7 linked regions of the Xenopus tropicalis genome follow. Each later gene encodes a partner of the first gene's protein in a complex. Links are inferred from orthologs where the notes say so. Each region holds a gene or a part of one and is shown in the gene's direction. Other genes may lie near its edges.

Region 1 (3,830 bases):
GAATATTTGTATTTGTACTGCAAGATGTATGGGGACTGGTTCTGACCCATGTTCTTTTGCAGGTGGCTCTGTTACTGCCACGTACCACAGAGCTGTGACAGCCTGCCACGCTATGAAACTACACATGTGTTTGGGAGGAGTCTGCTCCGTTCCATCTTCACTGTTACCCGGAGACAACTGCTGGAGAAGTTCAGGGTGGAGAAGGACAAGCTTGTTCCCGAGAAGCGGACTCTTATCCTTACACACTTCCCAAAGTGAGTGTGAGCCATTATCTCCGATAAGTGTTGATTCTTAATGGGGACCTGTCACCTTTAGAAATATTTCCAAATCCCTCTTTATTATGTTAGTTGAGCAAAATAAACTTTACCTACACTACATAAATTATATAAATCTTGTTTCCCTCAGTCTTACGAGTACACATTCACAGCAAGCAGGCAGCTGCCATTTTGTAAGCATTGTTGTTAAGGCAAGCTTTGCATTATCCCAAAATCTTGTTTAGCCTCAACAATCTGGCACCTGGTGCCCATGTACAGGATACATAAATACATCTAGGAAGTGCTGAAGGGAAAGTGAAAGTAATTGACTGACCTGCCTCTGTAAAGGTTTTTTTTTAACATTTATGGATGTTTTTGGTATAATTAAAACTGCCATCTATTTATTAACTAGGTTCCTCTCCATGCTGGAAGAAGAAATCTATGGTGAAAACTCACCCATCTGGGAGGCAGATTTTACTGTTCCAACCACAGAAGGTGCCCAACTAGTGTCTCGTCCAGGTACAATCTCTTTGTCTTGTATTGATATAAGGCTTGATAGATAATTGTCCATTTCTTCAGCTAACCTAAAATCAATTTTCTAACTCACAGGGTAATGGTCAAATTTTAATTCTATAATAAAACTTTCAGGAGTTAATAGAATAAAAGTTCCAACGTTTGATACAGGTGTGGTCACCTACAGCAGCCATTCAGCAGGTAACATGTACTGATTAGCTGCTTGAAATCAAACATCTAAATGGTTTCTGTGGCTTGCTAGACATGGCCAAGCTGAGTGCCATTTTTTTTACATTGTACATGATCCCAATATTGTTTAATCTTTGCATTAGTCTCTGAAATTAAGGATGTCATGCATTCTGGTTTCCAAGAAGTCAGTGTCTTCTCTGACCATAATAGGAAATCTGTGCCCAGTGTGATCAATTGAAGGTCCTCAATCAATCTAGCCATTCTACAATATGCTCAACTTGATCCTTTCTTGATCCTTTTTGGTGTTTTTTGGGATTGAGCTGCCTGTGTGTGACCAAATTTCATGTCATTTTATCGGGCCAGCCTCAACACTGAATCCTATGACAGACATTGTTTTAAACGAAAACAGTTATTACACTTATCGGAGAGACAGGCTTGTTAGTATAAATGCACAGAAGCCAGGATTCGGTTTGGCCTTTTTCAGCAGGATTCTGATTCAGCCGAATTCATGCTCGTGGCCGAAGCGAATCAAAATCCTTCAAATCGTTTGCCTTTTTTCACATAAACACGGAATTTGGAAATTTTTCTTAAACCCTTCCGTATCCTATTTTACATGCGCAAATTAGGATTATGTTGGCCGAATCATTTAAAAAGGATTCAGGGTTGGGGCGAATCTGAAAATAATGGGTTCGGTGCATCCCTACTTATTAGGCAGAGTGCATCTTTCTGTTTAGCAGGATTCATATTCTATATGTTGATGGAAATCCTGAGCAAATGTAGAATTGCAAAAAGGGGCTAAGCCCTAAAAAAACCCCCTCTGCTTTAGATTTAAAGTTTTAGCAGAATGTAAGCATTTTTGCTTGGTTGCTTTTTGCCTATGACCTATAAGAGTTTTGCCTGTGCCCTCATCCTGATTTTTTCTTCATTTTGCCCTTTAGCTGCTGTCAACACTACTTCAGTCCCCTCTACTCCTCTCTTCAACAACAATCTAAACAACAGTTCTTCTCTCTCGTCCAGTGGGGACACTAGCAGTTCAGAACCAATGCCAGGTATGTGTTGCTCCAAGCACACCAACACAAAGATTTGAAGAAGGCACATGTATAAGTGCAAGTCACACTGAACCAGTGTTCATTTAGTTTATATGTATTGATACACTGCGCAGCAAATAGCATATTAAATCTAAATGATTAAACCTTTTGTTAGTTACTTAATATAAATGTAATAAATATTGTTTTGGTTATTTTGTGTCAGTGCTACAAAGTAATGTATTAGATGGTTGTTTCTCAGCTTTACATCCACCCCTCTTGCCCTTGGTGCCATTGGTTGTAACACTGTGGGTTTGGAACCACAATGGAACCCCAGAGCAGTGACTGGGGGCGCAACCTCAAGGCCATATAAGTTAAACACTTGGGAGAATGCCCATTGGTCCTCCTTGTCCCGGAAGGTTCCATTTATTGATGGACATCAATTCTTCTGTGCAGGTGAGAAAAGGAAATTATCTGACAGCCTGACCTTAGAGGATGCCAAAAGAATACGAGTGATGGGAGACATACCCATGGAGCTTGTCAATGAGGTCATGCTCACCATAACAGATCCTGCAGCCATGCTGGGCCCTGATGTAAGCAAATGCTAACCATTGCTCTTTCTCTACTGTGCAAGTTAGTGCTTGTTTCTCCACTGTGCAGGCTATTTGTTTCAAGAAAAACTATTGTTTCCCCCATCTGGAGTGCGGGCTCTATTAGCCTGAACCTCAGGTGGGGGAAAACCAACATGGGGGTGATAGGTGCCCTGTAAAGGAATAGTTCTGTGTAAAAATGGAACTGGGTAAAATAGACAGACTGAGCAAAATAAGAAAATGTTTTCAATATCATTGATTAGGCAAAAATGTAATCTATAAAGGCTGGAGTGGGCAGAGGTCTAACATAATAGCCAGAACACTGCTTCCTGCTTTCAGCTCTCTAAGCTGTTAGCAGTCCGTAACCAATCAGTGACTTTAGAGGGAGGGGCCATATGGGACATAACTGTCAGATTACATTTGTATCTGGCCTGCGTGCTCACAAACTAACTGAACAGTTATGTGCCATGTGGCTCCCCCTAAAGTCACTGGCTAACTAAGAGATTAGAGAGTTGTAAAGCAGGAAGTAGTATTCTGGCTATTATGCTAGACATCTGCCAACTCCAGCCTTTATAGATTACATTTTTACCTAACTATGTTAGAAATATTTTTTATTTTGCGCAGACTGTCTATTTTACCCAGGTTCATTTTTACACTGAACTGTTCCTTTAAAGAGACATACCATGGTTCTGTAACAGAGTATTCCCAGGCTTAATGAGGGTAATATTCAGGTTCAGGTTTTATTGTCATCTCAACCACATAAGAAACTTACACAGTTGTTGATTGTCCCCTCTTGTCTACCATAGATATCTAAATAATTCATCTTTAATCTCGCCATTGCCTATCAGTTATGTCTGTTTCATCGCGTAAATATTCTTAATTCTTTTTGTACTTCTGTGTGCACAGACGAGCTTGCTTTCAGCCAACGCAGCACGAGATGAGACTGCTCGCTTGGAAGAAAGAAGAGGGATAATAGAGTTTCATGTAATCGGAAACTCTCTGTCTCAAAAGTCAAACAAAAAGATCCTTATGTGGCTTGTGGGTCTGCAAAATGTGTTCTCTCATCAGCTTCCACGGATGCCAAAGGAGTACATAACCCGGCTTGTCTTTGACCCGTGAGTGAATAAGAATTTCACTAAATACTTTGGTTACTCCTTAAAAGGGTGGTTCACCTTTACATTAGCTTTTATTATGTTATCATGTCCTATTCTGAGCAACTTTGCAATTGGTCTTCATTATTTTTTTAATTATCTGCCTTT
Region 2 (4,627 bases), on another chromosome or scaffold:
TTCCATATATCTCCTCTCTCATACCCCCACAGATACCCCCCCATTCCATATATCTCCTCTCTCATACCCCCACAGATACCCCCCCATTCCATATAGCTCCTCTCTCATACCCCCACAGATACCCCCCCATTCCATATAGCTCCTCTCTCATACCCCCACAGATACCCCCCCATTCCATATAGCTCCTCTCTCATACCCCCACAGATACCCCAATACCCCCCCATACCTTTATATCTCCTCTCTCATACCCCCCACAGATACCCCAATACCCCCCCATACCTTTATATCTCCTCTCTCATACCCCCACAGATACCCCAATACCCCCCCATACCTTTATATCTCTCTCTCATACCCCCACAGATACCCCAGTACCCCCCTTACCTTTATATAGCCTCTCTCATGCCCCCAGCTACCCCAATAGCCCCCATACCTTTCCTATATATCCTCTCTCATGCCCCCAGCTACCCCAATAGCCCCCATACCTTCCTTTATATCCTTTCTCAAACACCCCAGTTACCCCCATACCTTTATATATCCTCTCTCATATCCTCAGCTACCCCAATAGCCCCCATACCTTTATATCTCTCTCATACACCCACAGCTACCCCAATAGCCCCCATACCTTTCCTTTACATCCCCTCTCATACCCCCCAGCTACCCCAATAGCCCCCATACCTTTATATCTCCTCTCTCATACCCCTACAGATACCCCAATAGCCGCCATACCTTTATATAGCCTCTCTCATACCCCCACAGATACCCCAATAGCCCCCATACCTTTATATAGCCTCTCTCATACTCCCACAGATACCCCAATAGCCCCCATAACCTTTATATCTCCTCTCTCATACACCCACAGCTACCCCAATAGCCCCAATACCTTTCCTTTATATCCTCTCTCATACCCTCAGCTACCCCAATACCCCCCATACCTTTCCTTTATATCATCTCTCATACCCTCAGCTACCCCAATAGCCCCAATACCTTTCCTTTATATCCTCTCTCATACCCCCAGTTACCCCCATACCCCCCCATACCTTTATATATGCTCTCTCATACACCCACAGCTACCCCAATACCCCCCATACCTTTCCTTTACATCCTCTCTCATACCCTCAGCTACCCCAATAGCCCCCATACCTTTCCTTTATATTCTCTCTCATACCCCCAGCTACCCCAATAGCCCCCATACCATGATATATCCTCCCTCATACCCCCACGGATAGCCCCCATACCAATATAGATACTCTTTTATACCCCCACAGCCAGACCAATAGCCCCCATACCTTTATATATCCTCTTTTTTTAACCCCACAGCCACACCAATAGCCCCCCATACCATTATATCCCAAACAGCCACGCCCCCTCAGAAAGGTCTCCCTATTGGCCACAATGTTTCCCCAAAAAATCTACAGCCCCACTACTGCCTGTACTGTTACACAATGCTCACACGTGCACAATAGGAGAACCCCATACCACATATAAATACATTATTCTGGAAAGGCTTCTGGTACAAATAGTAGTAAATAAGTAATAAATATTGCTAATTATGTCCTTTTCTTTGTTTACAAACACCTAGCCTGCATAGTGGGAGTGGCCATCTGCTAACTCAAGGGGCCCCATTCCAGTTCTTGCACCATGGCAACAGAAGAAAAGAAACCCGAAACTGAAGCTTCCAAGACGCAATCCACCCCATCCTCGTCCAATAATCAGAGCAAGGTTGGTATTCTTCTACATGTGGAGCGGCCAAGATGCTTCCAGTAAGGCTTTGGGTGTTACTTTTGTGTGAAATCCAGCAGTTATGGATCATTAATCCTGCTTATAAAGGGTAATGTTAAAGGGGAAATATATCCGCCTCTGGCTTTTTAAATATACCCTTAATATAAAGGGCCTCTTATAGGTGGGTAGTGTAGTAGGGTTATAGGATCCAAAGGGTTACATATTCTTTTCCTACTTAAATATACATCTTAGAAAATTAACTTTTAGTAAGAGGTCCCAAGAATTGGCCATTCTGTAACATACTAAAAGTTAAAGGGGATGTCAACCCAAGATAAAATATTGACTAAAGAAAATGTATTTTCAAGCAACTTCCCAATATCCATTCATTCCCCATTCTCACTGGGTTTATAGTTATGTGTAACTGTCACTGTGTCTGTCCCTTTCCCTTCCCTGCACTGCTGGTTCTGACTCCTGATACAACTCCCCAATACCCATTCATTCCTCATTCTCACTGGGTTTATAGTTATGTGTAACTGTCACTGTGTCTGTCCCTTTCCCTTCCCTGCACTGCTGGTTCTGACTCCTGATACAACTCCCCAATATCCATTCATTCCTCATTCTCACTGGGTTTATAGTTATGTGTAACTGTCACTGTGTCTGTCCCTTTCCCTTCCCTGCACTGCTGGTTCTGACTCCTGATACAACTCCCCAATATCCATTCATCCCTCATTCTCACTGGGTTTATAGTTATGTGTAACTGTCACTGTGTCTGTCCCTTTCCCTTCTCTGCACTGCTGGTTCTGACTCCTGATACAACTCCCCAATATCCATTCATCCCTCATTCTCACTGGGTTTAATAGTTATGTGTAACTGTCACTGTGTCTGTCCCTTTCCCTTCTCTGCACTGCTGGTTCTGACTCCTGATACAACTCCCCAATATCCATTCATTCCTCATTCTCACTGGGTTTATAGTTATGTGTAACTGTCACTGTGTCTGTCCCTTTCCCTTCCCTGCACTGCTGGTTCTGACTCCTGATACAACTCCCCAATACCCATTCATCCCTCATTCTCACTGGGTTTATAGTTATGTGTAACTGTCACTGTGTCTGTCCCTTTCCCTTCCCTGCACTGCTGGTTCTGACTCCTGATACAACTCCCCAATATCCATTCATTCCTCATTCTCACTGGGGTTTATAGTTATGTGTAACTGTCACTGTGTCTGTCCCTTTCCCTTCCCTGCACTGCTGGTTCTGACTCCTGATACAACTCCCCAATATCCATTCATCCCTCATTCTCACTGGGTTTATAGTTATGTGTAACTGTCACTGTGTCTGTCCCTTTCCCTTCTCTGCACTGCTGGTTCTGACTCCTGATACAACTCCCCAATATCCATTCATTCCTCATTCATATACTGAAATATGGCAGTAGATCCTCACCCAGGGTTGGGAGTTTTATGAATTTAAGTTGAATTGTTTCTGGTTTCTCATGAATACGTTCGACTCAACCAACTTTTGGGTACTTTCCAATACGCGGCTCTGATGTTTGTAGAGAGATGAAATATAGGGGGTGGGTGCTGAATGTGACAAATTTCAGGTTTGTGCAGCGGTTACATACAACATGGCTGCCTGCCCTGGGGGCTCCCTGTCACTGTAGGGGGCTGTTTTTTATTTTAAAACTATTGTTTCCCCCAACTCTCTGCCTCAATGTCTGCAAAATACATTTCTGAAATCCCCATTTTTCTCTTCTATTCATAGCCTGCACCAGTAAAGCCAAATTACACGCTAAAGTTCACCCTCGCCGGACACACCAAGGCCGTATCATCTGTAAAATTCAGCCCGAACGGGGAGTGGCTCGCCAGTTCATGTAAGTGACATTCCACCTATCGTTATGTCTTTGCCCTAAAGAAACTACAGTGTCACTTTTTTGTTCTTTTCAGCGGCCGACAAGTTAATCAAAATATGGGGGGCGTACGACGGCAAGTTTGAAAAAACCATATCCGGCCACAAGTTGGTAAGAACCTTTTGTTGTTATTGCTCGCGTCTAGCCGGTGTTGAATTCCTGTAGCACCATATATTTAAATTCCACCAGCGTCTGCTTCGTGTAACATTAAACCCATACTGTTTTGCACCTTATCCCCCCAGCGCCGTGCAGCAGAAGCCAATTAGAGTTTGCATTTGCCAGACACCTCCCCAGGGGCCTCCCTAATTTATAGACGGGCTTGGGGATTTCATGTGTTTTAATTTGGCACTGGTTAAGAAATATAAACCCCCTTAATCAAATCCGATTAGTGAAACTTTTATTTATTTATTCTTTTTATTTTTATATTCAGGGAATATCTGATGTCGCCTGGTCCTCTGACTCCAACCTCCTGGTTTCTGCTTCTGACGATAAAACTCTAAAAATCTGGGACGTGAGCTCGGTGAGGCCTGATTGACTTACCGTTGGGAAGAATATGTTTTTGTGTTTCTTCATTGAGGGGTAAAATGATAACACAGGATACATTCCCTATTTCTCTTACATCATGGGGGACACAGGAACAGCCTAATTGCCTCGTTAATCCAGTGGGCAAACGTGGCCTTGGTAGTAGGCAGAGCCTCTCTAGAGGCTAGGCCTAACCTCCTGTCCACTTAAAAAGCTGAGCCCTGTTGGCTAAGCAAAAGGGTTAAAGAAAAGAGGGAGGAGCAACAGTTATGACATCACTGCAGTGTCCTGCCTCCTGGTAGGAGGAGCCCTTTACCCCACTCTTCCTGTGTCCCCCTAACGACTATAGAGAAAAGGATTTAACGGTGTGTATATAAATCTTCCTTATTGAAGGTGAGTCCATATTACCCACTGCTTCCATCGGAGCTATCAGTGGTGAAACTAGCTATACAGCAGACCCAGCGGTCACGGGGGGCCTGGGTGACAG
Region 3 (4,426 bases), on another chromosome or scaffold:
AGTTATTTTTTTTTCTTCTTGGTTTTTTAGTGCTAAGAATCGCAGAAAAAAAAGTCACAATTTTTTCGAGATTTACTATGCGTCAAAATGGCTAAAAATCCGAATCCAACAATTCAAAGCTATAACTTGCCAATATCATGTAGAATACAATAATACCAAGACTTGCTCTAAGCCACCCAGCACATTAAGCCTAATTTAAAATTTAGAACAGCCAGTCTCAATTTGCATTCGCTCACCCCTTCACAGAGTTGGCCTTGCCCTGGACCCTTCACTCAGGGAAAATAATTTTTTTTACAACTATTTCTTCATTAAAATATCAAGTGAATCACAGTTTTTTCATGGACACTCACCCCACTGATCCGGTGGTCTGGGCGCAGCGCCCCAGACCCGTATGAAAGAGAGACCCAGCATACCTATGACTACGTGTTGAAAGACACGAAGCGTGTCAGGATTATTGTAAATAAAATAATTTCTTAACCACCTACACCCGTGTCTGGAGTGCGTACCCATCGAGAAATATAATGTAGAAATCCATGGCAGAGGTCCTTTTTCTTGAAGATCCTTCCTTTGTCTCAAAACTTTAGAGGTTTAAAAAATTTTACGCTGTTTTTTGTGCAACAATCCAAGGTTTTGATGTGACAATTCGAAAATTGCGAGTTTTCGCAGTGACAGTTTGAAAAAGTCATAATTGCTGTGACTTTTACTGGCCCAGACTTGGAATTTTTTTTGTAAATGTCAGACATTCAAGGAAATGAAAGTGTGAATTTAATTAAGGAACTTGAGATCAGGCACAGATGCATTAAGTATTTGAACATAATCTAACAGCTATGAATGGTGTGGCTTTATATGAATGGACATTTATTGCAAAGGGGTTTTCTGTGGATGGCTAGGAAGTTAAATGATAAAGCAGCACTGAAATTTAGGCTTTATGACACAGGTTGTTTACTTTGACTTAGGACCACGGATGCGCAGGTGTGTGTGCAGATTCATGCCACATGACAACAGGGCCACTGTTGGACAGCAGAGAATGTATGCATTTTGTCGTCTTTGCCCTGCACAGCAGTCATCCAGACCCAAACTCACAGCGCACACTGACAGCTGCTGGGGAAAGAGCACTTTCCCTAGTACAAGGCGCAAGGCTGAATTGGGACTGCAGAACAAAGATGAAAAAAGCCCATTACTTTTCTACTATCCAGCTGGGAGAGGGAGCGAGCAGTTCCATTCAGGCGACAGAGAACTAGTGAACAGCACGTCACTCACAGGGCCAGGCCGCACAGCCAATCAGAAGGCAGAGGGGATAGGAATGCTCTCCCTGTATATCGTCATAAGTTCCCGCCCACGTCTTGCTCACGTGTCTGTGACATCAGAGCCGCCTCCATTCTAACATCTACCAGCGTGGAAAGAAAGGAAAGCAATGGACCGGCTAGCACCATATGGGAGTGAGTGTACGGGCACACTAGGGATGGAGGGTGGCGGTGTGCACTATGCAGTTTTACGCGGACTGTACAAAACAAATTGCAAATTTCAGTGCAACAGTCGTGTATGCTGGGTACCATCAGAGATAGTGTGTACAGTAAGCGCTGTGTATCAAGAAAAAGGGGAAGGGATGGATGGAAGCCGGTATGCATCAGTTGCTCCCTATGGTACCACAGAGTGGGCCTTGCACAATATCGGCAGTGATAATACAGTAAATCCAGTGGTCGATAGAGGGGAGTCACTGCTGCACCTCTGTATTTAGAACTGCGTTGTACAATAATGCTCAGGTATCAGCTATTTACTGTATGAAGTAAATGTATTAATATATGATGTTACCTTTAAAAGGATAATGTTTGCATAGTATATTTGGAGGAAAAATGTCACTTTGCCCACAAATTTATTATATACTGTATTGAAAATAATTTAAAAGGACAAAATAAAGGTTTAACTGTGTAGTACTTGAAGAAGCGTAGTTGTGGGTAATGTTATTTTCTACTGAAAAACGTGTGCATTATTGCTGTGTATTTCCTGGTGCTCATGTGACTCCACAAGAACTTTGTCTAATTCAGAGAGTGGAGAAGAAAAGCTGTGACTGAGGCAAAGTAAACACACCATTAAAGAGATACTGACACCAGAAATGAAACCCTTTGCATAATCTTTTATCATTTTGCCATAAGTATTTGTCCAATGCTTTTACATTACCTATCTGATCCCCCATGTTCGCCTGTGAGGAGGCTGCCATATTTGTGCAGCAGCTTAGCATTAGAAGCTATAACTGACAGGCTTAGAAGGGACAGTCAGGTTTAGGAACTTTAAGTAACAATTACTTCTAAAAGCAAACCTATCGGCAAAAATGATCAACATAAATAACTTTTTATGTAGATTCATATTTTTTCATGTCAGTATCACTTTAAACCAGGGGTGGGCAAACTTTTTGGCTCACGGGCCACATTTACTTACCCCCAGGCCAGCTTTACGCCCCCTTAGTCTGTTTAATTCCGGCCCGCCAATGACACCAAGTCTCGCGTGATGAGACTTGGCGTCGTCGGCGGGCCGGATTAAAAAGGCCAAGGGGCCGGACGTGGCCCGCGGGCCGTAGTTTGCCCACCCCTGCTTTAAACTATAAGGGCAGTGATGCACTAGACTTTTTCCCCACAACCTACCATCTTGATCAGTGGCAGCGCTTCAGGTCACCCCACACCTGCAAGTATTTCATAACCCTTAAAATAAATATGATTTCAGATCTTCCAGTTTAATTGAAAAACTTTATTAGGGTTGATTTTTCCAGAGCAGGACTGTGCTGTCTTTTCAGCAAGCAGTAAGAAGTACCTTACCCTTTTAAGGGTGAATTGTTTGTACATGGGGTTTACATTTTTATCTAGATATTTGTATTATGTAATAATATATATTCAATTTGCTTTTTCTGTGATACCCAAAGAGTAATCTGAATGTTGTTCTAGGTGATCCCTTTGACAAACCACCCTGCAAAGGGTGTTCATCATATCTCATGGAACCATACATTAAATGTGCTGAATGTGGACCTCCTGAATTTCTTCTGTGTTTACAGGTAATTGCGCATATGCATAGTCTTTAGGTAATGCTGTCTTTGGGATTATTGAAAGGCCATGAAGCAGAAAAATATCTAGCCAGTCAATTGTGCATAATATGAAATGTGCCAGACCATATTTCTTTAATGTTGTTTTTCCTTAAATACATTTGGGAACATAGCTGCTTTTTAGACAGTGTTTATTCACCTTTTTGTCATGGCCTCACCTATGTCTCCCTGCTCAAAGAACTTAGAGGAATAATTTAAGACAATATTTTTCAGAAAAGAATTTCAGTGTTACCCATAGAAAAATGGGCAACCCTTTTTAGATTGTAGCTCTATTTAGCAGTTCCCTCTCTACATCTTGTATCTGTTTTCGGTTGTATTTTTACATGTAATCTGTATGGTCAATTTTATACATCAATTTATTGTACAGCAATGCAGAATATAATGCTTATATAGTCAATAGAAATAATGGTAGCAATAACTCCCAGTGAGTTTGGCTTTCATTGTCCACTGAATGTTGACTGTGGTAAGCCTGTGATTTATATAATACATTTAGCATTAAAAACATTGTCATAACTGAAAGCATTTGCAGCTCCTGGCTGAATGTTTTGTAGAACAAGATATCACAATTAGTTTTGCTGGAATGCAAACTTAAAGGAGAAGGAAAGGTAAAAGCTCTGGTGGGGGTGCCAAGTTGTTAGGTTTTTCGTCAGCCATTAGTGGCTTTCCTGTGAACCCTGGGATGGTTTCCATTTTCTCTAAAAAAATAAAATGCGCTAGTCTGGGATACTGTATACTGAGAGCCATGTCCTTTATTTTCTCAATTTTTGTTCTTTATTTAAGAAGAGGTGAGCTGGCCCAGGTTACCAGGCAACCGATTAGAATCACTAGGATGTGCCTAAAAACTTGGTACCCCCACCCCCAGTGATTTTTACTTTCCTTTTCATAGTTAGTTATAGTTACATAGTTACATAGGGTTGAAAAAAGACCAGTGTCCATCAAGTTCAACCCATCCAAGTAAACCCAGCACACCTAACCCACACCTACCAATCTATACACTCACATACATACACTATATATACAACCACTAGTACTAACTGTAGATATTAGTATCACAATAGCCTTGGATATTCTGATTGATCAAGAACTCATCCAGGCCCCTCTTAAAGGCATTAACAGAATCTGCCATTACCACATCACTAGGAAGGGCATTCCATAACCTCACTGCCCTCACCGTGAAAAACCACCTACGCTGCTTCAAATGGAAGCTCCTTTCCTCTAATCTAAAGGGGTGACCTCTGGTGCGCTGATTGTTTTTATGGGAAAAAAGAACATCCCCCAACTGCCTATAATCCCCTCTAATGTACTTGTACAGAGTAATCATGTCCCCTCGCAAGC
Region 4 (3,830 bases), on another chromosome or scaffold:
AGTGGGAGGTACCTGAACCTTCTAATGGCAGCTTTTTAAGTGGAGGAGCAGGGAGTTTGTGATTCAAGAAGTGGGGGGGGGGGGACTAGAACATTGATATCATCTTACAGGGGATGGGGCAATGAGTCTGTAACTCAAGCAGTGGGTGGGACTCAGATACTCTGATGGCAGTTCACAGGGGGGTGAGGCATGGAGTCAGTGACTCAAGCAGTGGGTGGGACTAGAACACTCTTATGGAAGTTTACAGGGGGCGAGGCATGGAGTCGGTGATTTCAACAGTGGGTGGGACTAGAACACTAATGGAAATTTACTGGGACTATGGCAGGGAGTCAGTGACTCAAACATTGAGTGGACTAGAACACTCAAATGGAAACATAATGGGAGTGTGGCAGGGAGTCAGTGACTCAAGCAGTGGGTGGGACTAGAACACTGATGGGAATTTACTGGGAATGTGGCAGGGAGTCAGTGACTCCAGCAGTGGGTGGGACTAGAACACTCTGAATGAAGCTTATGGGGGGAGTGGAAGGAACTTATTAAGCTGTATCTACCAGAACACACTGATGGCAGCTTACATGGCAGTCGGGTGAAGAGATGACATTTTATGTAACAAGACTGGAGACTGATATTTTTATATTTTTCATTCCTCAGAGGGAAAGGGGAACCTGTCACAGAGCTCGGTTACCATTCCTGCCGGCAGCTCATGTACCAGTCCGTAGCCACCATACTGGCCCACGCCGGCTTCGAGTCCGCGAATGAAAGTGTTCTGGAAACCCTGACCGACATTGCCCACGAGTACTGCCTGAAATTTACCAAGATGCTGCGATTCAACGTGGACCGAGAAGCGAGACTGGGGCAGACGCCGTTCCAAGATGCCGTGGAGCAAGTCTTCCATGAAATGGGCATCGGGAGTGTCCTGTCTCTACAGAAGTTTTGGCAGCAGCGTATTAAGGATTATCACACATACATGTTGCAGGTAACCCATACTCATATATGTATAAGACGACTGGGCATATAAGACGACCCCCAACTTTTCCAGTTAAAATATAGAGTTTGGAATATACTACCACCCTGTGGCTTGCAGAACCGAACCCTCCGCTCCCCCCCAGCATCCTCCTGCTTTCCCCAGGGCACCCCCAGCATCCTACTGCTTCCCCCAGGGCACCCCCAGCATCCTCCTGCTTCCCCCAGGGCACCCCCAGCATCCTCCTGCTTCCCCCAGGGCACCCCCAGCATCCTCCTGCTTCCCCCAGGGCACCCCCAGCATCCTCCTGCTTCCCCCAGGGCACCCCCAGCATCCTCCTGCTTCCCCCAGGGCACCCCCAGCATCCTACTGCTTCCCCCAGGGCACCCCCAGCATCCTCCTGCTTCCCCCAGGGCACCCCCAGCATCCTCCGGCTCCCCCCAGGCCCCTCTCAAGCATCCTTCTGCCCCCCCAGCATCATCCAGCTTCCCCCAGGGCACCCCCCAAGGCATCCTCCAGCTTCCCCCAGGGCCCCCCCAAAGCATCCTCCAGCTTCCCCCAGGGCCCCCCCAAAGCATCCTCCAGCTTCCCCCAGGGCCCCCCCAAAGCATCCTTCAGCTTCCCCCAGGGCCCCCCAAAGCATCCTTCAGCTTCCCCCAGGGCCCCCCCAAAGCATCCTTCAGCTTCCCCCAGGGCCCCCCAAAGCATCCTTCAGCTTCCCCCAGGGCCCCCCCAAAGCATCCTTCAGCTTCCCCCAGGGCCCCCAAGCATCTTTCAGTTCCCAGCTGCCTCCTGCCGCTCCGGTGGTGTCCCCCGCTATGTGCCGCAGCTCCCCGCTACTTCTGCGCTTTTATAACGTTGCACCCCGTGCGTGTGACGTCAGTACGCACGGGCCGCAACCTTATAAAAGTGCAGAAGTAGCGGGGAGCTGCGGCACATAGTGGGGGACACCACCGGAGCGGCAGGAGGAGTGGCTACGCGGCACATAGCGGAGGACACCACCGGAGCCGGAGGAAGCAGGGCCCGGGAAGATGGTCCCCCCCCCATGCCCCCCTGATGGCAGCCCTGCCAGGAAGCAAGGTGCAGGTAAGTACCCGGCGTATAAGACGAACCCCGACTTTGGCACAGATTTTTCGGGGTTAAAAAGTCGTCTTATACGCCGGAAAATACGGTATACAGTTTGGTCATTTCCCTATGGGACCAAACTGTAAATTATGATGTCATTTCTGTCACATGACTCGCTGAAACTTGTATATTATAATAAATAAATACACCCCCATTGTGTATTTGGCGCTACAGGTCAGCAAGCAGCTCTCGGAGGAGTATGAGAACATCGTGCACCCCGAAAGGGCCTCTGAAGACACCAAACCGGTGAAGATCAAAGAGGAGCCCCTCACCGACATAACCTTCCCCATCAACGAGGAGCTGGAGGGGGACCTAGCGCCCGGGGACCAGTCATTGCCTGTCGGAGTCCTAGGCGCTCAGAGCGAGAGGTTCTCTGCTAACATCGAAGTCGATTCGTCGCCTCAGCCCTCTGGTAAGGAAGTGGTTAAATCTGCTGCAATAAAGCGGTGATTTATTTCAGAAAATCAAGGCGTTTAGGGACGTTTTCTCCGTAGGACCAGAGTCACGCTGGCAGCTTTGGTTTCAAGCTAAACTCCAGTAAAGAATAATCTACCCCTCCATGTATTTTGTGCTGCCATCGGGGGGGGGCAATTGCTCTGGACTCATTTGTCAGTGAAGTTCAAAGGGGTTCACCTTTATAGTTAACTTTTAGTATGTCATAGAAAGGCCAATACTAAGCAACTTTTCAATTGGTCTTCATTATTTGTTTTTCATAGTTTTTGAATTATTCCGCTTCTCCTTCAAACTCTTTGCAGCTTTCAAATGGGGGTCACTGACCCCGGCAGCCAAACCCTATTGCTCTGTGAGGCTCCAGTTTTATTGTTACGGTTACTTTTTATTACTATTACTTTTTATACTATTTACTTTATATTACTATTACTTTATATTTTTCTATTCAGCCCCTCTCCTATTCATATATCAGGCTTTCATTCAAACCACACCCTTGTTGCTACAGTAATTTGGATCCTAGGAACCAAACAGCTGCTGAAACACCAAGCTGGGGAGCTGCCGGACAAAAACTGAAATAATTAAAAAACTACAAATAATAAAAAATGGAGACCAATTGCAAATTTGCAAAAACTCAAAGGTGAACAACCCCTTCAAGTCCCAGTAAAGCTGCGTAGGGATTGGATGGGCTAGAGTGGAAGTTCAAACTCCACCCATCCAGTCTCTGTGCTGCTGTACCGGGACTTAAACTTGACTGACAAACGAGCAGTACCAAAAGACACCATGCCACAATGTTTGCCCTTAGAGCGATTAGCTCTTTGCTTCACTTGTCATTGTATAAAGGTTGCACAAATAACCCCATATACAGTGGTGTGAAAAACTATTTGCCCCCTTCCTGATTTCTTATTCTTTTGCATGTTTGTCACACTTAAATGTTTCTGCTCATCAAAAACCGTCAAAGATAACATAATTGAACACAAAATGCAGTTTTTAAATGAAGGTTTACATTATTAAGGGAGAAAAAAAACTCCAAATCTACATGGCCCTGTGTGAAAAAGTGATTGCCCCCCTTGTTAAAAAATAACTAAACTGTGGTTTATCACACCTGAGTTCAATTTGTGTAGTCACCCCCAGGCCTGATTACTGCCACACCTGTTTCAATCAAGAAATCACTTAAATAGGAGCTACCTGACACAGAGAAGTAGCCCAAAAGCACCTCAAAAGCTAGACATCATGCCAAGATCAAAAGAAATTGAGGAACAAATGAGAACAAAAGTAACTGAGATCTATCAGTCTG
Region 5 (4,585 bases), on another chromosome or scaffold:
GCTCTCATAAGTAGGTCACAGCTATGGAAAAAAGGCAGGCACTCCGGTGTTGAGGTAGTTGAATAACAGTCATTCATTAAAGTAAAATCACAAAAGATTTATTGTACTAACACATATAGCAATTAGCCTTACGCATTTCGTACCCTATGGTACTTAATCATAGGCTCATATGTAGGGATGGGCCGAATCCAGGCTTTTTTTGAAGGATTCGGTTTCGGACGAATCCACGGTCCCGGCTGAACCGAGTCCTAATTAGCATACATTTGCATATGCTAAGTAGAATTTGGAAAGGGTTAAATGGCCTGGGGAAAATTTTTTTTCCCAATCCTAGTTAGCATATGCTAATTAGGATTTGGATTCGGTTCGGGATTTTGGCAGAATCCGTCAGGGTGGGTTCGGTGCATTCCTACTTATAAGTGCTGAACACAGGTGGAACGCAACATGCTGTGTTTTACCTGCGTTAGGTGCTTACATGTCTATGTGAGTACAGCAAGACAGGGAAGTAAAGGCTGTGTTTCGCCCGGCGGTGGAACACAAAAGAACGCCATCTTGGGAACGCAGGGCAAAACCTCTGTCTGTACGAGCCCATATTGTAGTAGGGGGATAGGTTATAATAATTGGCAGCTGCCTGGCACCAATACAACACATACAATAAAACTTTTTAAATCATGTGTTTATTTCTTTTACATGGGTTCTCAGTGTTTACTTAATCATACTACAAATCTATCTGCAGGTGGTATTGTGCCTATATGTGAAATTTGCAACAACCCAATTTGCGGGATTCCATTTAATGAGCTGTTACATACCTGGGCATAAATTGGGGCATTTTCTAATATCAAAATCAGAAATTTAAAAAGGCCAAATAAAATGTATTGAATGATGAACATTATTAAAATATGAAGATCAAGGGAAAATACTGTGTGGGACCCATTAACTTCTAATTACCACTGATATGGCTCCTTCCTGGGAATGCCATCTTTTTTAGAAAAGATATTCTTTCTTCCCTGTTAGTAACATTGGCATAAAACTGTAATATTTACCTGCCAGGTGCAAACCCCTTCCCCTTTACTAAACCCAGATATGTGGCTTCCATGTGCTGCAAGCGGGACATTAGCTCTGCCCCAATGGCTACTTCCATGCCCTGCAAATTGCCCCAGCAGCATAACTAGCAAACTCCTGATACCCAATCACAGGAATCTAAATAACCACACGTTTTATTGATCGTGAGTTTCTCTTTATTACGAAATAAGCAAGCTTAGTACCAGTCACATATGTGCAGCCTCTCGCATATACTATCAAGCAGGATTTATACACCCGTTCATCTAATCCCACACCAGACAAAATGCTCCTTCAAAGTAACATATTAGTAAAAGCGGATAACGAAACGTAATTGCACAGCTGTCATACGCTTTACATGCAAACTAATATAAACCATATATTTCCCGCCGGTAACCCACATATTTATCATAAACGTCTCCCCTTTCCCAAAATGGATTCTGCAGCTTCTCTTTCCCAGCTTCCGGTTTGCAGCTGCGCAGCAACTTCTTGCGTTCCACAATCGCCCCGCCCCATCCGGTCCTGCGTTATTGCAGGCATGTCTACCATATCGAAGGTGGTGCTGGGTATCTCTGTGGTGCTGTCTGTGGGTACGGTGGTTGGCGTGCATGTGAAGCAGAGACTGGACAGAGAGGTTAGTAGCAGGGATGTGCTACTTTCGCCGCATGTGCCCTGAACTGGAGCTGAGCTAGCACTTATGCTCTGTCTGCTCCTTGCCCATTATGCTAAATGAAGGTCATGGCAATCAGTGTTATCCTAGCAAAGTAAATACATTGAACCCACTATATTTGAAATGTTCCCACTCCTTATGGTGTACAGTAAGGCTGTATGCTTATTGCACTGGGGCTGAATGGGGGTGCATTATTTCTGATTTCAGTACAGTAACAACTTTACTTGCCCTCACTACATGAGGAACAACCCAGCTCAGAGATGGAATTTATCCCTCAATAAAGATGATATTTTAGCCCCATTCATACATTGCAGTTCAGGGCTCTGAAGTATCTGAAGTGCAATACTGTACAGATAAAGGCTCAAATACGTACATTTAAAGGACATGTAAAGCCTACATTTGCCTACAATGTATATCAGTTGGGCACATCTCCTCCACCCAGATGGCATCATTTGTACTGCATATATCCCCCCCTCCGCTTGCCAGCAACATCACATTTTCCTAAAGCAAATAGCAGCTTTCACCCAGTGGCCATTTTTCCTCTGATACATAATCAGTTACATTTATCTGCAAACAGCATACACACACACAGACCCTTATTCAGCATACATTTCATCAAGAATACAGGCTCAAACAGGCTCAACTGTCTTTAATAAAAGTTTTGCTTCGTTTGAGCTGAGCTCAGGAGAGGAGGTTAGGAGAAAAAAATTGAAGCAGACAGCTAGAGCTGAGTTTCTATGGGAACCAGCAATGCCATCTCTTCACTGGCTGCTGGACTGGAGGGTGTGTTTAGTAATCTGAGTTTAGAACAACTGAGCATGTTTGGCAAGCCAGGAATCAAAGCAAATTCCCAATTGGGTTACAGGAGGAGAAGGAAATCTAAGTGATTAAGGAGATGTTGCAGCCTTACTATTAACCTCTGGACAACCAGAGTGGCAGGTTTTGAAAGATTTCAAAGAGGCTTCACTGCTTAATTTTTTGTGTGTGGGGTTTACATGTCCATTAAACTATTCCAGGCAAACAATGATGGCAGGGTCCTGGGCATGCAGGCCTGTGTGGAACCTTTTATAAAATGTATTTTGTTGCCAGGCATGTTCCTGCAGTACCTTCTCAGTGTTCCTCCTCCCAGTGCTGCAGGTTTGATTGCGCAGCTCACACCTCAAACACGACATTAAAGTTTCTTTTGCACAGTGCTTAATACTTGGGCTGTTACTGTACTTAAACTCTACTTCATTAGACTGCCTGCTTCATGCCATTTAATTGATGAGTTTATAAATATGCAGTTTTTATATTAAACAAAACTTGAATTTATTTTCTTAGTTGCAAACTGAAAACATAACTTGTCTCTTATGGACCAAAGTATAGAGCATTGGTTGTCAAATATTTGCAGTTAAAGATTTAACCTTTGTTCAGGGCCCCCTTAACTAATGAAATGGGTATAGATGTATTGCTATATCATTCAAGGAAGCAAAACATATCCACCACAAATTGCACCCTAGTTGACCTTCAAGCTGGGCTTTCATTTGATTTTCCCTAATATCCTCACTAACCTACATACTTAGTTGCCACCCACTCCAAGTCCCCATAGGGGCCCAGCCTCAAAGTTGGAGAACTGTGACACATTGGAGTGTCAGCTCACATTGTGACATTTATTTTTCAACCAATCACACTATGTCGTCCCTTAAAAATAACTTTTAGCAATAAGGATACAACCCAGGTCTGTTAATCTGCTGGTTTGTGTTACAGTCCGAGCCACCAGGACAGAGAATAGAAAAAGGACAGACACTGCTTTTAATAGCAGTTATTTATACAGATAACTTCCAAGCCATTATAAATTTGTAATAAATGTATATTGCAAAGCTTCTTGAAATGGTTTCTTTTAATAGTTCCAGTCTATGGTCCACCAGCTGTTGAACTGTAGTCCAAAAGAGAGAGGCCCTAGCACTAATGAAATAATAATAATCTTTTTTTGTACCCAATGGGTGTGAGGGTGAATAGGTTGAGCTATAACACCACTGGTTACTTGCTGTTCGTAAGACCCCTAGAGCTTTAGCTGGGTGACTGCCATAGCAATGTTTTTATATATCTGTACCCTTGTTAACTAAAGGGAAACTGCAACCAAACACAACTAAAAGTTTTTAAAAAATGAAAACATAATTTCAAGCAATGTTGCAATATTACATCAGTTAAAAATATGCAGCCTTTTCATGATTTTTAATGTGATAATATGGATTGGAACAGTTACCTTAGCCTGTTCTCCTGCTGATCTGGCTGACTACTTTAAAACTCAAAAAAAAAAAAAAATGTAACAGTAGTCTAATGTCCTCTGCCTGCCTTTAGCCTGCATCCTCCAAATCCCACAATCCCCTGCACACATAATGTCAATGATAAAAGGAACATCACAGTGCAGTGCATTGTGGATTATGTACTACCTGCATGCTGTCTGTATGCTGTGGAGAAGGTATTTATTCATACTTTTGAAGGGACAGATTACAGAGATTAAAATAGTTTTCTTTTAAGGGCACCCTGATATGAAAATGTTGGACAGCATACACGCCTGTGCTATACAATATTGGTATAGAATGTTACCAGTATGACATTTCATAAACTGGTACAATTACACTGTTGTGACTCATGACTCTTTGTATGGAATGGAAGCTGCTGAAGGGTAGATGTTAATAAGTCTGTTGTTGGGTTGCAGAGACTGCGTGACGGAGTAATTCAAGACTTGCAAAGGCAGAGTCGGAAGCAGGAGAACCTCCGCCTACTTCAGGAGCAAATTCATCTAACCAAACAGCTTGAGGCAGAAAGAGATAAAGTTCTTCTCACTGAGGGATCCTCCAAGGCTTAGATATCAAT
Region 6 (4,055 bases), on another chromosome or scaffold:
AACTACAGAGGATTGTGGGAGCTGTAGTTCGGTACTAGGTGGAGAGAGAGAGGGGCGGGGGGACAGAGGATTGTGGGAGTTGTAGTGATTCCTTAACACCTTTCCCACTCCCAGCAGCCCTGCCTCTGCCTTATTAGCCCTAAACTACAACTCCCAGCAGCCCTGCCTCTCCCTTTTATCCCCCTATTCCCAGTGCTATTACAATAAATTTGCTGGTGTCACACTACTACTTCCAGTGGTGGCAGGGGTTCCCGCTGGCCCTTTATCTGGTTCCGGGGGTTCCCGCTGGCCCTTTATCTGGTTCTGGGGGTTCCCGCTGGCCCTTTATCCGGTTCTGGGGGTTCCCGCTGGCCCTTTATCCGGTTCTGGGGGTTCCTGCTGGCCCTTTATCTGGTTCTGGGGGTTCCTGCTGGCCCTTTATCTGGTTCCGGGGGTTCCCGCTGGCCCTTTATCCGGTTCTGGGGGTTGCCGCTGGCCCTTTATCCGGTTCTGGGGGTTCCTGCTGGCCCTTTATCTGGTTCCGGGGGTTCCCGCTGGCCCTTTATCCGGTTCTGGGGGTTGCCGCTGGCCCTTTATCCGGTTCTGGGGGTTCCTGCTGGCCCTTTATCTGGTTCCGGGGGTTCCCGCTGGCCCTTTATCCGGTTCTGGGGGTTCCCGCTGGCCCTTTATCCGGTTCTGGGGGTTCCTGCTGGCCCTTTATCCGGTTCTGGGGGTTCCCGCTGGCCCTTTATCCGGTTCTGGGGGTTGCCGCTGGCCCGTTACTGGGGGTTGCCGCTGGCCCGTTACTGGGGGTTGCCGCTGGCCCGTTACTGGGGGTTGCCGCTGGCCCGTTACTGGGGGTTGCCGCTGGCCCGTTACTGGGGGTTGCCGCTGGCCCGTTACTGGGGGTTGCCGCTGGCCCGTTACTGGGGGTTGCCGCTGGCCCGTTACTGGGGGTTGCCGCTGGCCCGTTACTGGGGGTTGCCGCTGGCCCGTTACTGGGGGTTGCCGCTGGCCCGTTACTGGGGGTTGCCGCTGGCCGGCAGTTAGGGCCAATTCAGTCAGACAGGAGAGCTGCTGATAATAGTTAAAGGGTAACAGCTCCCAGGGCCCCTCCCCCTCAGCCTTGTGTAGGGCACAGGGTACTGAACCTGCCTTATAATGGGGCATTACAGCGGGGCATGATGGGGTATTACAGCGGGGCATGATGGGGCATTAGAGCGGGGCATTATGGGGCATTAGAGCGGGCCATGATGTTCCTTTCTTGCTCCCCAAGGACAGAGAAAGAGGCGGAGATGGCGCTGGTGTCGGCGGATACGAGAATCTCTGAGCTGCTCAGTGAGTTGCACCAACTCATCAAACAGACCCAGGTGAGCGATGTGCTGCAGCAGCCCCGGCCCCCCCAGTGGGAGTTAGTGATGGGGCCCCCCCAGTGTGAGTTAGTGATGGGGCCCCCCAGTGGGAGTTAGTGATGGGGCCCCCCCAGTGTGAGTTAGTGATGGGGCCCCCCAGTGGGAGTTAGTGATGGGGCCCCCTGCAGGGTGGTTTATTCTGCCCCCCCAGTGTAAGTGAGTTAGTGATGGGGCCCCCTGCAGGGTGGTTTATTCTGCCCCCCCCCGGTGTAAATGGGTTAGTGATGGGCCCCCTGTTCCCCCCCCGCAGGAGGAACGCTCGAGGAGTGAGCACAACCTGGTGAACATACAGAAGACGCACGAGCGGATGCAGACTGAGAACAAGAGTGAGTATGGTTAGTACTTAGTGTGCGAGTGGCGCCGCCGGTGCCCGGGGCCAGTAACAACAACTCCTTCTCTCTCCCCCCCCAGTCTCCCCCTATTACCGAACCAAACTCCGAGGTCTCTACACCACAGCCAAGGCCGACGCAGAGGCAGAGTGCAAGTGAGTGTGGCCCTAATGCCCCTGTGTGCCCACGTTCTGCCCCAGGGCCTCCAGCCCTAATACCCCCATTTCTGTTTGTGCCCCCCCCCCCAGCATCCTGCGCCGGTCCCTGGATAAAATCGCAGAGATCAAGTCCCTGCTGGAGGAACGGCGCATCGGTGAGTTTATTGCCCTCGTCTGGGTATTCCCCGGGCGCAACTTCTGCCCCTCAGAGTGTAAATCCCTGTGCCCTCTGCCTCTCCAGCTGCCAAGATAGCCGGCCTCTACCACGACTCGGAGCCCCCCCGCAAAACCATGAGACGGGGCGTCCTAATGACTCTGCTGCAGCAGTCGGCCATGACTCTGCCTCTCTGGATCGGGAAACCCGGGGAAAAGTGAGTGCCCCCAGAGCCTGCCCCCAGTGCCCCCGTAGCCTGAGGGAGGGACCCGTAGCCCGAGTGCCCCCGTAGCCTGAGGGAGGGACCCGTAGCCCGAGTGCCCCCGTAGCCTGAGGGAGGGACCCGTAGCCTGAGTGCCCCCGTAGCCTGAGTGCCCCCATAGCCTGAGTGCCCCCGTAGCCTGAGTGCCCCAGTGCCCCCGTAGCCTGAGGGAGGGACCCGTAGCCTGAGTGCCCCCGTAGCCTGCGGGAGGGATCTGTACCCGGAGTGCCCCCAGTACCCCTGTAGCCCGAGTGCCCCCGTAGCCTGAGGGAGGGCCCGTAGCCTGAGTGCCCCCGTAGCCTGAGGGAGGGACCCGTAGCCTGAGTGCCCCCGTAGCCTGAGGGAGGGATCTGTACCCGGAGTGCCCCCTTAGCCTGAGGGAGGGACCCGTAGCCTGAGTGCCCCCGTAGCCTGAGTGCCCCCGTAGCCTGAGGGAGGGACCCGTAGCCTGAGTGCCTCCGTAGCCTGAGGGAGGGACCCGTAGCCTGAGTGCCCCCAGTGCCCCCGTAGCCTGAGGGGGGGACCCGTAGCCTGAGTGCCCCCTTAGCCTGAGGGAGGGACCCTTAGCCTGAGGGAGGGACCCTTAGCCTGAGGGAGGGACCCTTAGCCTGAGGGAGGGACCCGTAGCCTGAGGGAGTGACCAGTAGCCTGAGTGCCCCCGTAGCCTGAGTGCCCCCGTAGCCTGAGTGCCCCCGTAGCCTGAGTGCCCCCGTAGCCTGAGTGCCCCCGTAGCCTGAGTGCCCCCAGTGCCCCCGTAGCCTGAGGGAGGGACCCGTAGCCTGAGTGCCCCCGTAGCCTGAGTGAGGGACCCGTAGCCTGAGTGAGGGACCCGTAGCCTGAGTGAGGGACCCGTAGCCTGAGTGAGGGACCCGTAGCCTGAGTGAGGGACCCGTAGCCTGAGTGCCCCAGTGCCCCCGTAGCCTGAGGGAGGGACCCGTAGCCTGAGGGAGGGACCCGTAGCCTGAGTGCCCCCGTAGCCTGAGGGAGGGACCCGTAGCCTGAGTGAGTGCCCCCGTAGCCTGAGGGAGGGACCCGTAGCCCGAGTGCCCCCGTAGCCTGAGGGAGGGACCCGTAGCCCGAGTGCCCCCGTAGCCTGAGGGAGGGACCCGTAGCCCGAGTGCCCCCGTAGCCTGAGGGAGGGACCCGTAGCCCGAGTGCCCCCGTAGCCTGAGGGAGGGACCCGTAGCCTGAGTGCCCCCAGTGCCCCCGTAGCCTGAGGGAGGGACCCGTAGCCTGAGTGCCCCCGTAGCCTGCGGGAGGGATCTGTACCCGGAGTGCCCCCAGTACCCCTGTAGCCCGAGTGCCCCCGTAGCCTGAGGGAGGGCCCGTAGCCTGAGTGCCCCCGTAGCCTGAGGGAGGGACCCGTAGCCTGAGTGCCCCCGTAGCCTGAGGGAGGGATCTGTACCCGGAGTGCCCCCTTAGCCTGAGGGAGGGACCCGTAGCCTGAGTGCCCCCGTAGCCTGAGTGCCCCCGTAGCCTGAGGGAGGGACCCGTAGCCTGAGTGCCTCCGTAGCCTGAGGGAGGGACCCGTAGCCTGAGTGCCTCCGTAGCCTGAGGGAGGGACCCGTAGCCTGAGTGCCCCCAGTGCCCCCGTAGCCTGAGGGGGGGACCCGTAGCCTGAGTGCCCCCGTAGCCTGAGGGAGGGACCCGTAGCCTGAGTGCCCCCGTAGCCTGAGTGAGTGCCCCCGTAGCCTGAGTGAGTGCCCCCGTAGCCTGAGTGAGTGCCCCCGTAGCCTGAGTGAGGGACCCGTAGCCTGAGTG
Region 7 (4,458 bases), about 2.5 Mb from region 1:
GTGCACTCGTGGTGCTGTATAAATAATATATCCAGATGGGAATTAAAGGGACAGTGCACCGGCACCACCTAGCCAATGGCTGAGCAGGAGCAGTCTTCCATTATATAATAGGTTAACGTTTTGTGTTTTAGCGCTGCCTCACAACAGGAGGCCAGTGGCACATTCTTACTCTTTGGTACATAAAATAACATGGGACCCCAATACTGCTTGGGGTTTCCCTTTGATTGCAAGCTCTTCTGTAAAGTGCTGGGTACCATACAGGCACTCTATAAAGTATTGAGGAGAAATCCGATAGAGGGAGGATACAGAATCAGAGCCTACTCCCTAACAGAACCCATTCCAGAACCTTAAGGGACAGAATTCTTCTCATTGGACAAAACCTGCAGGGCCCCTGATCACCCCCCCCCCCCCCTCCAGTGATCCTTTGGGGATCCAGTTTCCAGTCATGACTTGTAGATCCACTAACCTATCATTTATTGGGGATTAACCCTCTAAACACTGTGCAGGGAAAATCATCACCCCATGTAGATTGTATCTATCCCTTATACAGCCCCATACCCTCTCTAGTTGCCCAGTTTGTTACCCCACAATGGGGCAGTCACATTAACCCCCGGCCATGTCCATTTCCCAAGGCCCATTGAGTACTTAGTCCCCATTACACCACTTCTTATAAATAAATAAATAATCTAGTAGAATTTCTATTTGGCTTTAACTCCCCCATCACCATAATAACCCCAATACCCCTGCCCAGATACTATACTGGGGTACTTATTGGCTCTTATACCTCCAAACACTGCCCTAGGGTAATCATTCACCCCCTATAACCCCCATTACACCCCCAACAACTCTACTGGGATAGCTATTCAGTTCCCAAGGGATATATATACTTATTTACCCATATGCCCCTCTTATCCACCCACATACCCCTTTATTTACACCCCCCTACACTCCTTCCCAGATACACAAGCTTCTCCCTGCCCATAGTCACGGGAACCACATTAGTTGTAAAACTACAACTCCCAGCATGCCCCTCCGCCTAAGCGGCACGGTCGGTAGACAGCGGATCCCACAAGCGGCAGTAGTGCGTTTGTCCGAGCCCTGTATGAGGTGTCCCACCCACCCGGTGACAGGAACGCCCCCTCCCTCCCGGTAACCCGCAGCGGGCGGCAGACAGGAGTGGCGGCGGGACACCCGCAGCAGCCATTTTGAATTGAGCAGACAAAGAGCGCGCGTTTCTGTGGCGGGGCGACTTTCTCCGCTTCAGGCGTCGCCACGCCACCCGGTTTCCCGCGCAGACCCTTCCCCGACCGCCCCCTATTTTTGTGCCTCCCTCCCGTTCCACCGACCCCGCTCGATCCCCTCCTGCCCTCCCAATACCGCTCGCAGCCATTTGCCCGCTCCTTATGTAGCCATGAAGCAGCCAATGGGAGCGCCGCTCCGGTGTGACGTAATTGCCCCGCCGCGCAGGCGCACAGAGCTGCTGCCCTCCTGAGTTGAGCGGCGGAGTAAAGATGGCGGCGGGTTCGGATCTACTGGATGAGGTTTTCTTCAACACGGACGTGGACGATAAAGTGGTCAGCGAGCTGGTGGGATCCCTGGAGTCTCAGCTGGCCGCCGCGGCCCACCAGCACCATCATCACCACCACCACCAGCAGCAACCCCCCGCCGAGGCCCGCAGCCAGGCCCTGGCTAACCATGTCACCAGCCCGGGGGTAGGGGCAGCCAGTGCGGGGGGACAGCCTGAAGCCAAGATAGGGCTCTCCCCGGAGGTGCCTAAGACGGGTGAGGCCTGGGGGCGCCGAGCTGAGCGGGCAGGGGGGCCGCGGGAATGTTTTGGCGGCCGGCGGGCTGACTGGGGGCCTTCAGGGGCTCTGCTGGGTGTGATGGGCCCCGGGAAACGCTCTGGGGGCCCCACATGGACTTCTGGAGTTGCTGCTCTTGGAAAACTGGATACTTGTACTACTTGGCGCCTGTGGAGTGACTTGGAGGGGGGCCAAGGGCTTTGGGGGGGCACATTGGCCCATAGGAAATAGAATTGGGGGTACACATGGACTCCTGGAGCTGCTGATGGCTGGCGACTGGATATTTGGGGTATCCGGCAGTTTCCTGGGGTAACCGGGCAGCCTGGGGGCATTTGGGGGGTATACTGGGCCCTGGGCAGCCTTCTGGCCAGTCTCACATGGACTCATAGAGCTGCTGATGGCTGGCGACTGGATATTTGGGGTACCCAGCAGTTTCCTGGGGTAACCGGGCAGCCTGGGGGCATTTGGGGGTATACTGGGCCCTGGGCAGCCTTCTGGCCAGTCTCACATGGACTCCTGGAGCTGCTGATGGCTGGCGACTGGATATTTGGGGTATCCGGCAGTTTCCTGGGGTAACCGGGCAGCCTGGGGGCATTTGGGGGTATACTGGGCCCTGGGCAGCCTTCTGGCCAGTCTCACATGGACTCATAGAGCTGCTGATGGCTGGCGACTGGATATTTGGGGTACCCAGCAGTTTCCTGGGGTAACCGGGCAGCCTGGGGGCATTTGGGGGGTATACTGGGCCCTGGGCAGCCTTCTGGCCAGTCTCACATGGACTCATAGAGCTGCTGATGGCTGGCGACTGGATATTTGGGGTACCCAGCAGTTTCCTGGGGTAACCGGGCAGCCTGGGGGCATTTGGGGGTATACTGGGCCCTGGGCAGCCTTCTGGCCAGTCTCACATGGACTCATAGAGCTGCTGATGGCTGGCGACTGGATATTTGGGGTACCCGGCAGTTTCCTGGGGTAACCGGGCAGCCTGGGGGCATTTGGGGGTATACTGGGCCCTGGGCAGCCTTCTGGCCAGTCTCACATGGACTCGTAGAGCTGTTGGTGGCTGGCGACTGGATATTTGGGGTACCCGGCAGTTTCCTGGGGTAACCGGGCAGCCTGGGGGCATTTGGGGGGTATACTGGGCCCTGGGCAGCCTTCTGGCCAGTCTCACATGGACTAATGGAGCTGTTGGTGGCAACAGACTAGAGATTTGTGGCATTTTAGGGTTTTGGGGGTGACTGTGGGGAGATGAGTGCTGTGTGGATCATTAGGGGGCAGTTTGTGCCCCAGGAGAAGATTTGGGGGTCCACATGAACTTTTGGCGCTACTGATGGCCTTGTTGTAGATACTTAGATACCTGGGATTTTCTGGGGGCTATAATGAGCCTTAATAAATGGACTTGGGGGGCAAGAGGCACTATATGGTCATTTGGGGGGGTGTGGGTGAAATTGCCTTATGTGGGGTATGTTCCCCGTGTACTTGGGGAGCTGGCACTGAGGGCACCGTCTATATGCCGCTCACTTACAAGGGGGGGGGGGGGGGTAAATCTTCCTGGGGGCATCATTGGGTTCTCTTGGAATGGTTTGGATTTCTGGGTGGCATGTTGGGTTGTGGGGTTGCCTAATGCCGCTTCTGAGGGGTCCAGTGGGCGTTTGCTGGTGGAACCAAGTGCTGGACCAGAGTGGGTGCACAGGGGTGGCTATCTGTATATTCCGGCGGGTGTATACCCCATAGCTCTGTTTCTTTCCCTGCTGTTTAAAAAAAAATGTCCTTTTTCTCCCACAGGAGCCGCTGTACCCGGAGTACAAGGAGGTGTCATTAACAGCCGCCCACAGACCACAGCACAGCCTGACGGGACTCAGTCTGCTATACCCGAAGCACCAGGAGCTCTTAGCCAGGCCAAATCTGGGGTTCTGGGCAACATGGCTTCCACTCTGCCCAACCACAGTTCAGGTAATGGCAAAAATGCCACCCTACAGACCATGAATGGGAGTAATGTTGTGATTAATTCACACGGACCTGGGGGTCACGGAACCCCCTACCAGGGGAACAGCAATGCCGCTGTCGGCCTGGTAAACAACGGACCGGCTCCTGTCGCTAAGGGTGGAGTGAACCCAGGAGCTAACACCGTTATCCAGACTTCTTTCCTTGGGACTACTAACGTGGCATCCTCAGTCATCTCCTCCTCATCCACATCCACTGCGGGAGCAGCTGGGCAGCAAGCTGGCATGGCGGGCGTACCCACCAGCGTGGCATTGGTGAGACCTCTGTTGCACCAGGGCGTGCCCGCCACTCAGAACGGGAGCAATACTGTGATCAATTCCCCTCTGTCCGCCCCTGCCGGGGTCTCGCTGCAAATGAACAATCAGCCCAGTCCGGTGATCAAGTCGGAATCCCCTAAAACTATTATCCAGCCCCCTCAGCAGAGCCAGCCTAACCCTGGCAATATGGTGTTAGGACAGACTATGCAAGCTGGGCACCCTGGTCCTGGAGGAGCTGTGTCTGCCCCCGGTGCCCCTACAGGAATGGGCAAAGCTACAGTCAGCGCCGTGCCTCCCAACTTGCCAAGGACTCCTACGGCCCTGGCCGGTGGTATCAGGGCTACAATCACTCCCCCTATGCTTGCCCCGCGCGTGCCACAGCCTCAGCAGAACCCGGCGAG

Evidence for each region.
Region 2: kat2a (region 1) and wdr5 share a complex: the UniProt entries of both Homo sapiens proteins name them as parts of the ADA2A-containing complex. The link is inferred for Xenopus tropicalis from reciprocal best matches to the Homo sapiens genes KAT2A and WDR5.
Region 3: kat2a (region 1) and tada2a share a complex: the UniProt entries of both Homo sapiens proteins name them as parts of the ADA2A-containing complex. The link is inferred for Xenopus tropicalis from reciprocal best matches to the Homo sapiens genes KAT2A and TADA2A.
Region 4: kat2a (region 1) and supt7l share a complex: the UniProt entries of both Homo sapiens proteins name them as parts of the STAGA transcription coactivator-HAT complex. The link is inferred for Xenopus tropicalis from reciprocal best matches to the Homo sapiens genes KAT2A and SUPT7L.
Region 5: kat2a (region 1) and kat14 share a complex: the UniProt entries of both Homo sapiens proteins name them as parts of the ADA2A-containing complex. The link is inferred for Xenopus tropicalis from reciprocal best matches to the Homo sapiens genes KAT2A and KAT14.
Region 6: kat2a (region 1) and sgf29 share a complex: the UniProt entries of both Homo sapiens proteins name them as parts of the ADA2A-containing complex. The link is inferred for Xenopus tropicalis from reciprocal best matches to the Homo sapiens genes KAT2A and SGF29.
Region 7: kat2a (region 1) and taf4 share a complex: the UniProt entries of both Homo sapiens proteins name them as parts of the TFTC-HAT complex. The link is inferred for Xenopus tropicalis from reciprocal best matches to the Homo sapiens genes KAT2A and TAF4.

Annotation. Positions count from the first base shown.
Region 1 is NC_030686.2:6,930,038-6,933,867, forward strand, and holds part of kat2a (histone acetyltransferase KAT2A), read left to right. Parts: intron 1-62; coding exon 63-254; intron 255-666; coding exon 667-773; intron 774-1,894; coding exon 1,895-2,005; intron 2,006-2,437; coding exon 2,438-2,574; intron 2,575-3,477; coding exon 3,478-3,686; intron 3,687-3,830. UniProt on the Homo sapiens protein: Protein lysine acyltransferase that can act as a acetyltransferase, glutaryltransferase, succinyltransferase or malonyltransferase, depending on the context.
Region 2 is NC_030684.2:8,199,333-8,203,959, reverse strand, and holds the start of wdr5 (WD repeat-containing protein 5), read left to right. Parts: upstream 1-1,595; 5' UTR 1,596-1,638; coding exon 1,639-1,719; intron 1,720-3,473; coding exon 3,474-3,582; intron 3,583-3,655; coding exon 3,656-3,729; intron 3,730-4,048; coding exon 4,049-4,138; intron 4,139-4,627.
Region 3 is NC_030678.2:76,068,685-76,073,110, forward strand, and holds the start of tada2a (transcriptional adapter 2-alpha), read left to right. Parts: upstream 1-1,403; 5' UTR 1,404-1,414; coding exon 1,415-1,439; intron 1,440-2,936; coding exon 2,937-3,043; intron 3,044-4,426. UniProt on the Homo sapiens protein: Component of the ATAC complex, a complex with histone acetyltransferase activity on histones H3 and H4. Required for the function of some acidic activation domains, which activate transcription from a distant site. Binds double-stranded DNA.
Region 4 is NC_030681.2:5,368,190-5,372,019, reverse strand, and holds part of supt7l (STAGA complex 65 subunit gamma), read left to right. Parts: intron 1-648; coding exon 649-973; intron 974-2,260; coding exon 2,261-2,498; intron 2,499-3,830.
Region 5 is NC_030681.2:38,333,828-38,338,412, forward strand, and holds the start of kat14 (cysteine-rich protein 2-binding protein), read left to right. Parts: upstream 1-1,633; 5' UTR 1,634-1,690; intron 1,691-4,427; 5' UTR 4,428-4,585. UniProt on the Homo sapiens protein: Component of the ATAC complex, a complex with histone acetyltransferase activity on histones H3 and H4. May function as a scaffold for the ATAC complex to promote ATAC complex stability. Has also weak histone acetyltransferase activity toward histone H4.
Region 6 is NC_030685.2:2,319,566-2,323,620, forward strand, and holds the start of sgf29 (SAGA-associated factor 29), read left to right. Parts: upstream 1-1,255; 5' UTR 1,256-1,274; coding exon 1,275-1,349; intron 1,350-1,641; coding exon 1,642-1,717; intron 1,718-1,802; coding exon 1,803-1,875; intron 1,876-1,968; coding exon 1,969-2,033; intron 2,034-2,119; coding exon 2,120-2,249; intron 2,250-4,055. UniProt on the Homo sapiens protein: Chromatin reader component of some histone acetyltransferase (HAT) SAGA-type complexes like the TFTC-HAT, ATAC or STAGA complexes.
Region 7 is NC_030686.2:4,389,648-4,394,105, reverse strand, and holds the start of taf4 (transcription initiation factor TFIID subunit 4), read left to right. Parts: upstream 1-1,497; 5' UTR 1,498-1,511; coding exon 1,512-1,782; intron 1,783-3,581; coding exon 3,582-4,458. UniProt on the Homo sapiens protein: The TFIID basal transcription factor complex plays a major role in the initiation of RNA polymerase II (Pol II)-dependent transcription.